Linked DNA regions of Pelodiscus sinensis. The protein of the gene in region 1 purifies or fractionates together with the protein of each later gene. This does not show direct contact. Links are inferred from orthologs where the notes say so. Each region holds a gene or a part of one and is shown on either strand. Other genes may lie near its edges.

Region 1 (8,014 bases):
TGTTTCTCCTCCAGTCTTAGCAAGGAGCTACTGCAACCAGGGAAAAGGCACCTTTCCCTCCTCCACAATAGCTTCCATTGGCTCATCAGGCACCTACAAAGCCATGCATCTTAGAGGGAACTCTGAATTATGTGTGCGCAAAGCCAATTACATATTGATCTTTTACATAATCCAGCCATCTTTATGAACATATCAGAGCACTGCACTTGCACCCAGGATGAATAAGGAATTCAAAGTAGTTTGCTTTGTCAACACTAGCTCCTACATATCCTATTAAGAGAAGTTAGCAAAAGCAGCTTGAAGTGTGTGCACTCTGGCTCACTAAAAGTAAACAAACATCTTATTTGTACAATAAAGTCAACTGTTGTCTATAATTGCTTATTGTGTTATTTCACATGACCTTGAGTGACAGGTTCAGATAGTATGAGCCTCCCAAATAATTTAGGTTCTACTGTACACCTTTCAAAACAATAAATGGATTATGAAAAGTAATAAGGAGGAAAGGAGAATAACTAAGGGCATTATTCTCCACCTCTTCGCAAAACACCCACTGCCTTCAATGAGAGCTCTACATGCAGAAAACTTCCAGAATTGAGCTGTAAAGGAACTTTGCATCTTATTAATATGCACCCAGCACTTAAAGCACCTCTGCTGAGTCACTCAAGAGATTCCATCACAAGGACTAACAGTTCTTAAAATATTCCAAACTTCAACAGAATACTTTGAGTACATTACACTATATCCAGTTTTTTTAATTTTCTGACAATTCTTTAGAAAACATACGCTGACATTTTAAAATTCATTCAGAAAACCCCTTGTGCAAAATGTTTTATTTAAAATGCAGCATTTTATAAGGTATTTCTCAGTCTCCCTTGCTAATTGACAGCATAAAGCAAACAGTGAAAATGGTATTTAAATGAAGTGCTATCAAATGCACGAAGTTAAGAAATTCCAAAATACAGAAAATTCTAGCTTTTTGCAGTATTGACCATCTTAGAAGTTCCTTGTAATAGTGTTTAAAAGATATTTAAAAATCCAACTTTGCACAAAAGTTCTAACCAAATGAGTTTAAAGCTACTGACCCAGACCTTTGTAAGTCAGCATGCTCTTTATAGTTCAGTTGGCACTGAAAACAGAGCATACTCTAAGTGACATTTCTGAGCACAATAATTAAAAATTAAAGTAAACTCAGTGTAAATTACTATGCTTATCGAATCATAGAGCTGGAAAAGACCTCAGGTGGTCATCAAGTCCAGCCTCCTGCTCTAGGCAAGACCAATCCCAACTTACAGTCAAATGAATTTTGAAAATACTAATGCAAATATCAATACCTAATTAAGTCTGCTATTAAGGCTTATCACTTGTATACATTTATACACAGCTTAGAATCAAACAAGTATTAACACACAACATGAACCAAAGTGTTATACCTTTAAAAACCATCTTAAAGGATCAAAGAATGATAACTATGAAAAATCAAACTACTTCCAACACTGAGTAAATATCCCCATTGAAACCAATTTATTAAAAACACTTCAAGACAATAAATCTAGAAGACAGAGTGGACACCTATCTTAACTGTTATTGCTTCTGTGAAAAGCTCAATGGGACAGGAGGTCAGGTCATGTTCGAATCGCACACATTCCCTACAATACCTGTGAAAAGGTTACAGAAACTATAATCTCATTCTGATCCAATGTTTACATGGAAATACCACCCAGAATCTCAACCAGAACAACACTTGCAGACGTCAGGCCACATGTCAAAACACGAGGCTATGATGACAGCCCACTGTCTTAGTTGTGCTGTTCTAGGGAGGGATACCGGGCGTTACTACCATTCGATTTCTTATCTGCTTTCGTGGAAAACTCAGTAGTAAGGATTTGGAAGAGCAACCCTCGTGAGAGCAGCGCTGGGTGGGAAAGAGGCATGAAGAGTGAACCGTCCCCCTGGGGAAGGTCTGCAGCAGCCATCAAACCCATTCCCCAGGCCAGTATCAGAGGGGTCGCTGTGTTAGTCTGAATCTGCAAAAGCGACGAGGAGTCCTGTGGCACCTTATAGACTAACTGCAGTGTAGGAGCATAAGCTTGCGTGGGCAAAGACCCACTTCGTCAGATGCATTCCCCAGGCGAGTCACCTCAGCACTAAGCCGTTTGCCAGAGGGGGCCTGCTCGGCGAGCAGCGTGACAGAGGCACGGTCCCAGCTGAGGCCGCTCCTCCCCCGGGCAAGGCGCACGTGGCGCAGGCCTGGCCCTGGGCACCTTGCTCCTCACCTGTTGATGAAGCCGTAGCCGTTTCTTACGTTGAACCATTTTACTGTTCCCAAAACCTTCGTTGCTGAAAGGGAAAACGTGACAGTCACGTGACGCCCCGCCCACGCAGGGCCGCCGAGCCAGGCTCCCCACCGCGGGCTCAGCGAGGCAGGCGGGCCGGGCCGCACCGCACCGCGCGCCGGGGGCCCCGGGCAGGCACGTGGCTAAGCGGGTTTCACACAAAGGCCCCGCGTGGCGGACATTTTGAGTGGCTCCGCGCCCGCCCCGCCCCCATCCGCCGCCGCACGCGGGGCTCAACGGCTCAAGCGGCGCGCGGGGGCCTAACGGCCACTGCGCGCGCACCAGACAGGGGTCTCGCGCCTTCCTGCGGGGGAGGAGGGATGACGCCCACAGACCCCTCCCCTTCCCCCCCTCAGCCCCCTCACCGATGACCTTCTTGTCCCCGCCGGCGGGGGGCGCCGCCGAGGCCAGGCCGCTGCCACCGTTGCCTGTGCCGCCGTTAGGTTTGGACTCGGCGGGGGCGGTGGGCGCCGCCGCGGGAAGAGGGGCGGCGGGCGGCTGGGTCTCGGCCTCGCTGCTCATGGCGGCGGCTGTTCGGTGCGGACGGTGGTGGTGACTGGCTGTTGCGCCGCCTCCCGCAGTGTGATGGTGACTGGGGCCGGCCGTGGGGGGGGGGCTGCTCCCTGCTCCGGGCTCGCTGGGCTCCGCTCTCCGCTCCCGATACCGATCGAACTGACCACAATGGCGGCCCGCACCGGCTAGCCACCCAGCACGCACCGCCCACTAGCTCTTTCACTGGCTGCGGAGCTTGCCCGTCACGGATCGTGCAAACCCATTGGCTTTTAGAAATCCGCCCTCAGGGGCTTGTCACACCCGTTGGCTGTGGCTCTCGCCCATCATAGAACGCGCTCCGTTATTAGGTGTTCTTATCCCGGCCACATTTTTGCTAGCGCCCATTGGCCGTCGAGCCTGCCCATCATACAACGCGTACACCCATTGGCTGCACGAATCACGGCTGCCGGGACTTGTTTCGGCCTGGTTCGTTACTCCTCCCTTTTGGAGCGTGGTTGGTGCAGCATCCCTGTGATCCCGCCTTCTGCACCTGGGAGGGAGCGGAAGGGCGCGGGCCGGAGCACGTGGCCTCGGTTGAACTCGTGCAGTTATCTAGGGGCACGTGCTCAGGTCGGAGCTGGGGCAGCCTGGCCCTCGCCTCCGCACACAGCCCCGCGGCGCCCAGTCTAAGGGGAAGTCTCTGCCTTCTCGCTGGCAAATAGGACTGCCACCTTGCTATTGGTACAAAACCGGCACACCCCAGCCTAGCCCCCAGAAGCCCCCCAGCATGTCTCTCAGCCCAGCTCCAACCCCCCACACACACACACACTATTCCTGTCTCATATGAAGCACCTTCACACATGTTCCTTGAAGGGCCCTGATGTGAATCTGAGCAGATCCCATCAGTCTGAGAGAAGTCCCCTGAGGCCTGAGCACTTCTAGGCTTGGAAGATGGTTTCTAGCTAGAATAATATAGCCAGTTAACACAGGCCACCCCAGGAATGGAGCCAGCTCTCCAATTTGGAAAGCATGATAAGGGACCCACTGAAGGTAGGGGGGTGGACTGGGATTTACAGTGAACTTGGAGCTAGGGCTTCAGCCTTTGGAGCACAAGATGGTGGGCTCAATCCCACACCCACCCACCCAGCAACAGGGCAGCTAACACCGTCTGCCCCAGGGATTAACCTAGCTCCTGCATTAGGAAAGCAGGATAAGGGACCCCCTGGAAGATAGGGAGGTGGAGTGGGCTGGGGTTAAGGCATTTGCTTGCAGAGGGCAGGGCTGTGAGTCCAAGGCCCTCCACCACCAGGAGCAGCTGGACAGTGGTAGAGGCTGGCTGATGGCAGTAGAATTGAAGATCCAGACTGTGAGAATCAGGACTAGGACCCAACAGTGCTTTTTGCTCCACTGGTAGCTTGTATCAGAGGGGTAGCCGTGTTAGTCTGAATCTGCAAAAGCGGTGAGGAGTCCTGGGGGTCTTTGCCCACGAAAGCTTATGCTCCAACACTTCAGTTAGTCTATAAGGTGCCACAGGACTCCTCGCCGCTTTTACAGGTAGCTTGTATCACTGCTGTGTGTGCTAGGAGATGGAAGTTGCTTTGTACATAAATGATCTAAAAGGATATTCCTATTTGCCAATGTGATCTGCTCCCCTGGCTGTCCAATCCATGATATTAGGCTGTGAGCCACACCCTCTACAACTCCACCTAAGTGGACTGAAGAATTGAAGAATTGCTCAGAACCGTGCATTTCCCTGCTGTTGTGTATTCATTACCAAGGGGCCAACACATTATCAATAAGCTACAGCCTATACTGGTGTTGGAGTCACTGGGCATGATCCTAGGTAACTCGGGGGAGTGGAAGATCACAAGGATCGATGAAGAGCCCCCGCTCTAGGCCCAAGCACCCTAAAAGCCCCCTTCCCCCCCGAGACATAACTTTTCTCTAGCTCGCTAACAGCTGGGAACAGCAAGACATTGAAAGTTGCCTAGTTACTATCAGTGGTATAGAAGAAGAATTCAGATGTGTTTCTGTAGAGGAGGAGGAGGGGGACTGGCAGCATGTCCCAGCCTGGGAAACTTGCTACAGTTCACTATTCTCCTGCAAGTAAACAACCTGGGTATATAAGGAGGGAAAACTGCTTACGTTGGTGTGCCTGACCTGAGATGTCTCCTGGAACCTATTTGAGCGTTCAAATAAATTTTTTTTGGCTTCTCCACACCGGTGTGTTTATTGGAGCGCGCACACCGGGCAACAAACCCAGCTGTTGCCCCCCTCGGGCACTGTGTGCCGGCAACACTGGAACAGGATACCATACCCCAAGAGGCTCTGGGAGACAGACCCATAGTCTCCTATAGACAACCACCTAACCTCAAGATGATTCTTACCAACAACCACAGGACATACCACACTAAGACCAACCCTGGTACCTTCCCTTGCAACAAACCCCGTTGCCAGCTTTGTCCACATATTCATTCTGCTGATACCATTGTTGGACCTAACCAAGTGAGTTATAAGATCAAGAACACACATTCCTGCGCATCCAGAAATATAATTTATGCTATCATGTGCCGAAAGTGTCCGTCTGCTATGTACATTGGACAAACAGGTGACAACCTGGGAAGCAGTGATCATGAGAAGGTAGATTTCAGGATACTGACCAAAGAAAGAAAAGAGAATAGTAAAATACACACCTTGGACTTCAAAAAAAGCGGATTTTGACTCCCTCGAAGACCTGATGGGCAGAATCCCCTGGGATGCTAACATGAAGGGGAAAGGAGTCTAGGACAGCTGGCAGTATTTTAAAGAAGCTTTATTGAAGGCACAGAAAGTAACCAGCCCTATGCGTAGCAAGAGAGGCAAACATGGTAGGAGACTGGATTGGCTTACAGGAGAAATCCTTGGTGAACTTAAGCACAAAAAGGAAGCTTACAAAAAGTGGAAACTTGGACAAATGACCAGGGAGGGGTTTAAATGTCTAGCTCAAGAATTCCGGGGGGTTATCAGGAAGGTGAAAGCGCAAATGGAATTGCGACTGGCTAAGGATGTGAAGGATAACAAGAAAGGTTTCTACAGTCATGTTAACAAGAAAAAGGTGATCAGAGAGGGTGTGGGGCCCCTACTCGATGAAGGAGGTAAGCTAGTGACAGATGATGTGGGGAAAGCTGAAATACTCAATGCTTTCTTTGCCTCTGTATTCATGGACAAGGTGGGCACTCAGACTAATGCGCTAAGTGACACAAGATGGGATGAAGATGGACAGCCCTTTGTGGGTAAAGAACAGGTTAGGAACTATTTAGAAAAGCTAAACGTATACAAATCTGTGGGTCCCAACTTAATGCATCGAGGGTACTGAGGGAGTTGGCAAATGTCATTGAGGAGCCTTTGGCCATTATCTTTGAAAAATTGTGGAGATCGGGAGAAATCCCGGATGATTGGAAAAAGGCAAATGTAGTGCCCATCTTCAAAAAAGGGAAGAAGGACGATCCAGGGAACTACAGGCCGGTCAGTCTTACCTCGGTCCCTGGAAAAATCATGGAAGGGATCCTTAAGGAATCCATTTTGAGGCACTTGGAAGAAAGGAAGGTGATTAGGAATAGTCAGCATGGATTCACAAAGGGCAAGTCGTGCCTGACCAATCTGATTAGCTTCTATGATGCGGTAACTGGCTCTGTGGATATGGGAAAGTCAGTGGATGTGATATACCTTGACTTAACAAGGCTTTTGATACGGTCTCCCACAACATTCTTGCCAGGAAGTTAAGGGAATGTGGATTGGATAAATGGACGGTAAGATGGATAGAAAGATGGCTAGAAGGCCAGGCCCAGCAGGTAGTGAGCAACATCTCGATGTCAGAATGGCGGTCGGTTTCTAGCAGAGTGCCCCAAGGTTCGGTTCTAGGACCGGTTTTGTTCAATATCTTTATTAATGACCTAGATTACGGGATGGATTGCACTCTCAGCAAGTTTGCGGATGATACTAAGCTGGGGGATAGGTAGATACGCTTCAGGGCAGAGATAGGATCCAGAGTGATTTAGACAAATTGGAGGATTGGGCCACAAGAAATCTGATGAGGTTCAAAAGGACAAGTGTAGAGTCCTGCACTTGGGACGGAAGAATCCCAAGCATAGTTACAAGCTGGGGACCAACCGGTTAAGTAGTAGTTCTGCAGAAAAGGACCTGGGGGTTACAATGGATGAGGAGCTGGATATGAGTCAAAAGTGTGCCCTTGTATCCAAGAAGGCTAATAGCATATTAGGTTGCATTAAGAGGAGCATTGCCAGCAGATCTAGAGATGTCATTATTCCCCTTTATTTGGCTTTGGTGAGGCCACATCTGGAGTATTGTGTCCAGTTCTGGGCTCCCCACTACAAAAAGGTAGGAGAGGGTCCAGCAGAGGACAACCAAAATGATTAGGAGGCTAGAGCATCTGACTTATGAGGAGAGGCTGAGGGAGTTGGGTCTGTTTAGTCTGCAGAAGCGAAGAGTGAGGGGGGATTTGATGGCAGCCTTCAACTTCCTGAAGGGAGATTCCAAAGAGGATGGAGAAAGGGTGTTCTCAGTAGTGATGGATGGCAGAACAAGGAGCAATGGTCTCAAGTTGTGGTGGGAGAGGTCCAGGTTGGATATTAGGAAAAACTCTTTCCCTAGGAGGGTAGTGAAGCACTGGAATGGGTTACCTAGAGAAGTAGTGGAGTCTCCATCCCTAGAGGTGTTTGAGTCTCGGCTTGGCAAAGCCCTGGCCGGGTTGATTTAGTCTAGAGCAGGGGGCTGGACTTGATGACCTTCTGGGGTCTCTTCCAGCTCTATGATTCTATGAACACTCCTTCCCGGCTCTCTGTCCTCAGCAAAGGTGCTTCTGGAGCAGAGAGCGAGAGTGAAGACAAAGATATAGGCACCCCCAGGATACTGTTATAAGCTTGTCCATGCAAAGAGAAATCCATTATTCTCCTGAGTAATGGTACCTCCCAAAATGGAGCTGATCACATGATCACCGTGTCCTTTATGGGCAGGAAGCCATGGAGTATCCAGGTATGTGCTCCCGAGGCAAAGGGCCATTGTATGCTCCTCAGGTGTCAATTGGCAACACTTACGAGCCTTTGCCCATGAAGCATTCACTATTCATTGGGCCACCACCACCCGCAATTTGTGGTCAATGCCTACTGCTGTCTCCTAGACAGAAAATATAT
Region 2 (7,649 bases), on another chromosome or scaffold:
ACTATTTGATCTGAGGAAGTGGGTCTGGCCCACGAAAGCTCATCATCTAATAAACCATCTTGTTAGTCTTTAAAGTGCTACATTGTCCTGCATTTTGCTTCATACTAGATTTAGCAATTGTTCTTAAGGCATATTAATGTTAAAACACACTGAGAAAGGAACACAGATGCATGAATCTCTCACAATAGTATTACTGTTTCACACAACTCTTTACCTATCCAACTACTTAAACTTCCAGTTTAATGTGACATTCTACCCAGTTACACCTGAACAAGCAGCTGCAATTTAGACATTTTGTTGCAAGTCATGACTGGATTTAACTTCAAGTCAGCAGAGAAAGGTATAGTATCTTTCAAAAGACTTGAGGAGAGTGCCCATTCTACCACTATCAATAACACTGCTGAATACATCCGAGAATCTAAGTTAATTAGAAAAAATGCAATTTACTCTCAATTTTCCCTAAGATCGTATTTGAGAACTTGGCATGTTTTCTTAACCCCTTTTAAGTGAAGTGACTGATCTAGTGAATAGAAGATGCTGTTTTCAGAAGAACCTAAACCTCAGTAGCAAGAAACACTGTTGGCAAGAACTACATAATGGCTGAAGATCCATCACAAGTTATTTTATTTATACTAACTGGAAGTTAATGTTCAGGAGTTGGTAGCCTTTCTACATTTCCTAATGCTGTCATTTGTTTCAAAGGGTAGGCCTGACAAAAATAGCTGACTGGAAACATGGCTGTTTGCTGCCAACACTTTTCAGATCTAAATAGGAAGGTGCCACTTAACATGGAATACATTATATTCACAATGCTTAATGTAAGTGTCTCACCAATGGATAACCACCACAAAGCAATAATTCCAAATACAACCTTATACACTAACTCTATGCAAGACATTCAGATTCAGTAACAATGATACAGGTAGGGCTTTCCCAAGCAAGTAGGCCTGGGGCCTTCCTTCCAAGTTACTGGGAGCTCTTCTTACACTATCTTATTTGCAGTTCTAGGTTTAAAATCCCAGCTCCACCATTGTCTTGCTGTGTGACCTTGGATAAATCATTTAATACCACAGAGAGGACAATATTACCCCACTTGTAAAGCAGGGGTGAAACTTACCCTCCTTTGTACAATGCAGAGATTTACAGAGGACTACAAATGTCTCAAGGGGTGGGTATTTTTCTATGCCACATTAATCCATGAACAAGCTCTGCAGCGTAGCTACTACGTGTAGGCATTTTAGGTTTTTGTTTGATAGAACACACCAGCTATGTAAAGCACAGAACAAAGGTTGCCACTTTGTATCTAGCCTAACACAACCAAGTTTTCTTCCCTCCTGTTTGTGTCCCTCCTCTAACTCTTCCCCCCCCCCTTAAAATATTTGCTTTCAGAAGGATCCCTATTGTCCACAGCCCCAGCAACGTTTACTCTTTTCCACAGCGTCACTCCTTTCTGTGCGGCCAGAGGAATGTTCTTCTCACACCGATGGTGCCAAACACACTGGGGCTTTCAGAGCACAGGAACCGCTCCATGAAACGGCTTGTTTTTGTAGCCCAGACGGCTCGATGTTTCTCAACCCCCAGCACCACCCGAGAGAGCAGGCAGCCCCCCCCCCCCCCTTACTTCGGCCTGCATGCACGATGATCCTTGCAGGGAGGCTGCGGGAGGCCTGGGCTACCCCCCCCCCCATTCCAACCCTGTCCGCAGTTAATTACACCCCCAGGCCGCCACCCCCACCCCCATTCGCACCCTGTCCCCAGTGAATTACACCCCCAGACCACCACCCCCCATTCCAACCCTGTCCGCATTGAATTACACCCCCAGGCCGCCACCCCCACCCCCATTCGCACCCTGTCCCCAGTGAATTACACCCCCAGGCCGCCACCCCCCATTCCAACCCTGCCCGCAGTGAATTACACCCCCAGGCCGCCACCCCCCCCCCCATTCCAACCCTGCCCCCAGTGAATTACACCCCCAGGCCGCCACCCCCCATTCCAACCCTGCCCGCAGTGAATTACACCCCCAGGCCGCTACCCCCCCCATTCCAACCCTGCCCCCAGTGAATTACACCCCCAGGCCGCTACCCCCCCCCCATTCCAACCCTGCCCCCAGTGAATTACACCCCCAGGCCGCCACCCCCCATTCCAACCCTGCCCCCAGTGAATTACACCCCCAGGCCGCCACCCCCCATTCCAACCCTGCCCGCAGTGAATTACACCCCCAGGCCGCCACCCCACCCCATTCCAACCCTGCCCGCAGTGAATTACACCCCCAGGCCGCCACCCCCCCCATTCCAACCCTGCCCCCAGTGAATTACACCCCCAGGCCGCTACCCCCCCCATTCCAACCCTGCCCCCAGTGAATTACACCCCCAGGCCGCCACCCCCCCCATTCGCACCCTGCCCCCAGTGAATTACACCCCCAGGCCGCCACCCCCCCCATTCGCACCCTGTCCCCAGTGAATTACACCCCCAGATACCCCCGTCCCGAGTGCATTATTGCCCCATGTGCCCCCCCACTCTCACCCTGTGCCCATGAATTACAGCCCCGCTCCCAGCCCCCCCCGCAGTGAACCACACCCCCAGCCCCCCCCGGCCCGCCCCCACCATTCCCACACGCTGAATTACCGCCCCGGGCCACCCCCAGCCCTGCACGCAGCGCGGTGCCGGAGACCCCCCCCCCCACGAGGGGCGCCCCCCCCGCGCCCTGCCCCCAAGCGGGCCCGGCCGGGGGGGGGGTCCCAGCTTCCTTCCCCTCCCCCCGGCCCGCCGAGCGGCGCCGAGCCCGCGCGTGCCCGTGACGCCGGGGCAGGAGCCCCCCCCGCGGGGCGCGAGGAGGGGGCGCGGCAGGGCCCCCCCGTTACCTGCGGACGGAGCGGGACTGGAGCAGGAGGCTTCGCGACAGGCCGGCCGGGCAATGGCAAAACCTCACGCAACGGCGTGCTCACCCGCCGGCTGCATATATCCGGCGCGCAGCCTAACCCCGCCGCACCGCGCCAGCCAATCACCGAGCGCCGCACTTCGCAGCTCGGACGCCGTTTGGCCAGGGCCGCCAAAGCAGGGCGGTGCTTCGTGAGTGGCATCGAACGCACCCTATCGGCACTGCCGTGAGGCAGGACGCCGTTAGGTGAGCGACGTAAGAACCAGCCAACAGGCGTTGAAATGGCAGCCCCTAGGGCGGGATAAAGCTCGACTGACTCCCCCGGTGACCAATAAGGCGACGCAACTTTCGCTATGAGGTGAAAGTTGGACGAGGCGGAGGTAAGGTGCCCGCGTAGGGTGGTTACGCCGTAGAGCGGCGCCCTGGAGATCAGGCTAGGTAAACCCCGTTTTAGACAGGGCCGGCACTCGTTTCGGGTCTGGGCGCCGCAGCCAATTAGGAAGCCCGGCTGGCCCTGACTGACAGGCCGCACGCGACAGGCTCTTAAAGGGAAAGGCGGCACCGAGGCAGAGTCAGCCCGCCCCCGGCCGGCAGCCGGGCCCCGCCCCACGGGGGGAAGGGCCGCCCGCGCCTCCCCCCACCTGCTGCACCAGGCCACGTGCTGCTCCCCCCAGCTGCTCTGGCCCCGCCCCCTGGGTCACCGTGACCCCCCCCCCGCCTGCCTACCACCGCACGGCTCCAGAACCCCCCTCCCCGCCTCCCTACCGCCGCACGGCTCCAGAACCCCCTCCCCCCCGCCTCCCTACCACCGCACGGCTCCAGAACCCCCTCCCCCCCGCCTCCCTACCACCGCACGGCTCCAGAACCCCCTCCCCCCCGCCTCCCTACCGCCGCACGGCTCCAGAACCCCCCCCGCCTCCCTACCACCGCACGGCTCCAGAACCCCCTCCCCCCCGCCTCCCTACCGCCGCACGGCTCCAGAACCCCCCCCGCCTCCCTACCACCGCACGGCTCCAGAACCCCCTCCCCCCCGCCTCCCTACCACCGCACGGCTCCAGAACCCCCCCCGCCTCCCTACCACCGCACGGCTCCAGAACCCCCTCCCCCCCGCCTCCCTACCACCGCACGGCTCCAGAACCCCCCCCGCCTCCCTACCACCGCACGGCTCCAGAACCCCCCCCGCCTCCCTACCACCGCACGGCTCCAGAACCCCCTCCCCCCCGCCTCCCTACCACCGTACGGCTCCAGAACCCCCCCCGCCTCCCTACCACCGCACGGCTCCAGAACCCCCTCCCCCGCCTCCCTACCACCGCACGGCTCCAGAACCCCCCCCCCGCCTCCCTACCACCGCACGGCTCCAGAACCCCCTCCCCCCCGCCTCCCTACCACCGCACGGCTCCAGAACCCCCTCCCCCCGCCTCCCTACCACCGCACGGCTCCAGAACCCCCTCCCCCCGCCTCCCTACCACCGCACGGCTCCAGAACCCCCCCCCGCCTCCCTACCACCGCACGGCTCCAGAACCCCCCCCCCGCCTCCCTACCACCGCACGGCTCCAGAACCCCCTCCCCCGCCTCCCTACCACCGCACGGCTCCAGAACCCCCCCCGCCTCCCTACCACCGCACGGCTCCAGAACCCCCTCCCCCGCCTCCCTACCACCGCACGGCTCCAGAACCCCCCCCCCCGCCTCCCTACCACAGCACGGCTCCAGAACCCCCCCCTCCCCCGCCTCCCTACCACCGCACGGCTCCAGAACCCCCCCCCCCGCCTCCCTACCACCGCACGGCTCCAGAACCCCCCCGCCTCCCTACCACACACGGCTCCAGAACCCCCCCCCCGCCTCCCTACCACCGCACGGCTCCAGAACCCCCCCCCGTCTGCCTACCACCGCACGGCTCCAGAACCCCCCCCGCCTCCCTACCACCGCACGGCTCCAGAACCCCCCCCCCCGCCTCCCTACCACCGCACGGCTCCAGAACCCCCCCCGCTTCCCTACCACCGCACGGCTCCAGAACCCCCCCCCGCCTCCCTACCACCGCACAGCCCCGCCATCGCCAACCCCCCCACCAGGCTCCCTACCACCGTACAGCCCCGCCATCGCCAACCCCCCCACCAGGCTCCCTACCACCGTACAGCTCCAGAATGCCCCCCTCCCGGCCTCCCTACCACCATATGGCTGCCAACCCCGAACCCACCACTGCCGACCCTCCCCCCCGCCTCCCTACCACCATCCGGCCGCCTCCCCCAAACCCGCCACCACTGACCCCCCCGGCCTCCCTACCACTGTACGGCCGCCACTGCCAAACCCACCGCCGCCGACCCCTTTTCCCCAGCCTGCCTACCACCGTACGGCCACCACCGTACAGCCCCACCACAGACAGCCTCCTCACCACCATATGGCCCCGCCTCCACCAAACCTGCCACCATCCCCTAAACCCACCACAGCTGGTCCTAGCCTCCATACGGCCCTGCTACAGCCAGCTTCCCTCAGCCTCTGTACCACTGTACATCCCCACCATCCACTGAATCCACCACAGCCAGCCTCCCCCAGCCTCTGTAACACTGTACGGCCCCGCCACCTGCTGACCACACAGTTGGCCTCCCTCAGTCTCCGCACCACTGTACAGCTCCACCACCCTCCAAAGCTGCTACAGCCGGCCTCCCTGGGGCCCAGCCTCAATACCACCGTATGGCCCAGTCACCCACTGAACCTGCCACAGCTGGTCTCCCTAGGGCCTACCCTCTCCCAGCCTCCCTACCACTGTATGACCCTGACACCTGCCAAACCCACCACAGCCAGCCTTACCCAGCCTCCATACCACTGTTTGGCCCTTCCACCCACCAGACCATTCATAGCTGGCCTCTATACCACTGTATGGCCCCATCACCCACTGAACCCGCCAGAGCTAGCCTACCCGGGGCCCAGTCACCTGCCAAACCCAGCCTCCACAAGGCCCAGCCTCACCCCGCCTCCATATTACTGTACTGCCCCGTCACCCACTGAACCTGCCACAGCCAGTCTCTGTGGGGCCCAGCCTGACTCAGCACGACCCAATCACCCGCTGAATCCACGGTGTCCAGCCTTGGGACCTCTGCACAGCCGGCCTTCCATCAGTCACGTGCTGATCCCACCACTTGCAGCCTCCAGTTCTCTGCACAGCCTGCCTTCCACAGAGCCAAGGCCTCACCCAGCCTCTCTACCACAGTACGGCCTGGTCAGCTACTTCTGGCCCAGGGTGTCCATCTTCAATGCTGGGTCAAGGCCTCACCCAGCCTCCAAACCACAAGCTGGCTGGTCACCCATTCTGACACAGCCCATCCAGGCCATGGCTTTCCCAACCTTCAAAACCCAGCCCAGTCCAGCCACCCCTTCCTCCCTGGCACATCCGGACTCTGTAGCGCCATATGGCCCAGACAGGTATTGTCACCTGTCTTCACCTGGGCATTTGTGCGGCTCAGATCATCCTGGTCACTCTGTGCTTTCTCCCACCATCCCAGTCTTCCTGGAAGATTCCTCCACATTGTGCAAAGCACTAAACTGTCTCCATTCCCATTATTTCCTTGGGACTGCCACACTGGGTGGTGCAATATCAAAGTTCAGTAGCACCAAGAATGAACCTTCGGGGCGGACACTGCATCCTCTAAAAGGTTCTCTTTCCACCCAGGGCTCCCTGCGCATACAGCCCTACCAGCTTGATCGTCACAGATCCCGTAACCTCCTGGGAAAATGCTCAACCTTCTCTTAAGAGGTTTCAGCATAGGAATATGATCAAATCCATTCCCACTGGACACAAAACTCCATCCTGAGGCTTCCCAGCCAACATCCCAAGTAACAAGTCCACTTGGAAATCAGATCACCCACTACACTCAGACTGGTGAGCCCGCAGGAGCATCTAGATGAGAAAACAAATAACACAGTTCACCTGTCTGTGCAGCAGCAATTTCTTTTTCCTCTTTTGCAATTTCTTACTGAAACAGAGAAATCAAGCCAACTGAAACTTGCTCTGAAAGCTTTGATAAGGCAGAGGTTCAGGTTTTTGCATTGCCTCATCAGTGCTCTACCCTAAAAATACCACTCTCCAAGTGGAAAGAGATGCCCCGTTACTGATCCATCCCATAAAATCCATGTCACATTGCATGTCGTCACCTGAAAGGATAAAAGAGCCCCAGAAGGCACAGCAACTTTCGTACCACAGCCTTGCTTCCACAAAGTAAAAGCAGTCAGGGCTTGAAGTCAGTTTCCTAAGGCACATGTTTGGTTTTGCTGTGGAGGTGGTGGACACTTGCTTGGACCAAACTGTCTGCCAAAGGGCCAAAATTTCCCTTCACCTACATCCTGTGCAGCGCTAAATCAGTGATGTTGCTTGGGAGGGGGAGCAAGGGTAACACCTGACCCTATAGCCAGGACTTAATGCCTCTTGTTCCCCTAGCAGGCAGCCACTGTATGAATCTCCTTCCCTAGTTTCTTGCAGGGAGATTTACAGTCACTAGGCTGGCATTATGCCATCCTCAGCATTAATATTCCCCCCCCGCTTTTTTTTTTTTTTTTTTTTACTATTTATATCCTGAGCCACATTGCAAGCTGCCAGCTCATAGATCAGTAGCAAGGCCTTTGCAGAGTTTAGTACAAGCCAAGGGGCAGCCGTGTAAAATAACCCTGCCCCACAGCTGGGAGGACAAACAGCAGAGAGGCCCACAGCAGCACGGTCTCTCAGATAACCCCCACGCTTGCGGAAAGGGTCACATCAGCACCTACTTTTACAGCACTGAAA

What was found. Proteins that work in one complex are often made in the same cells at the same time.
Region 2: the proteins of YBX1 (region 1) and G3BP1 purify together in Homo sapiens (affinity purification with mass spectrometry; 3 studies listed by BioGRID and IntAct, with this or other methods). This does not show direct contact. The link is inferred for Pelodiscus sinensis from reciprocal best matches to the Homo sapiens genes YBX1 and G3BP1.

Annotation. Positions count from the first base shown.
Region 1 is NC_134733.1:3,158,462-3,166,475, forward strand, and holds the start of YBX1 (Y-box-binding protein 1), read right to left. Parts: upstream 3,016-8,014; 5' UTR 2,856-3,015; coding exon 2,699-2,855; intron 2,338-2,698; coding exon 2,274-2,337; intron 1-2,273. UniProt on the Homo sapiens protein: DNA- and RNA-binding protein involved in various processes, such as translational repression, RNA stabilization, mRNA splicing, DNA repair and transcription regulation.
Region 2 is NC_134727.1:36,251,741-36,259,389, reverse strand, and holds the start of G3BP1 (ras GTPase-activating protein-binding protein 1), read right to left. Parts: upstream 3,007-7,649; 5' UTR 2,862-3,006; intron 1-2,861. UniProt on the Homo sapiens protein: Protein involved in various processes, such as stress granule formation and innate immunity. Plays an essential role in stress granule formation.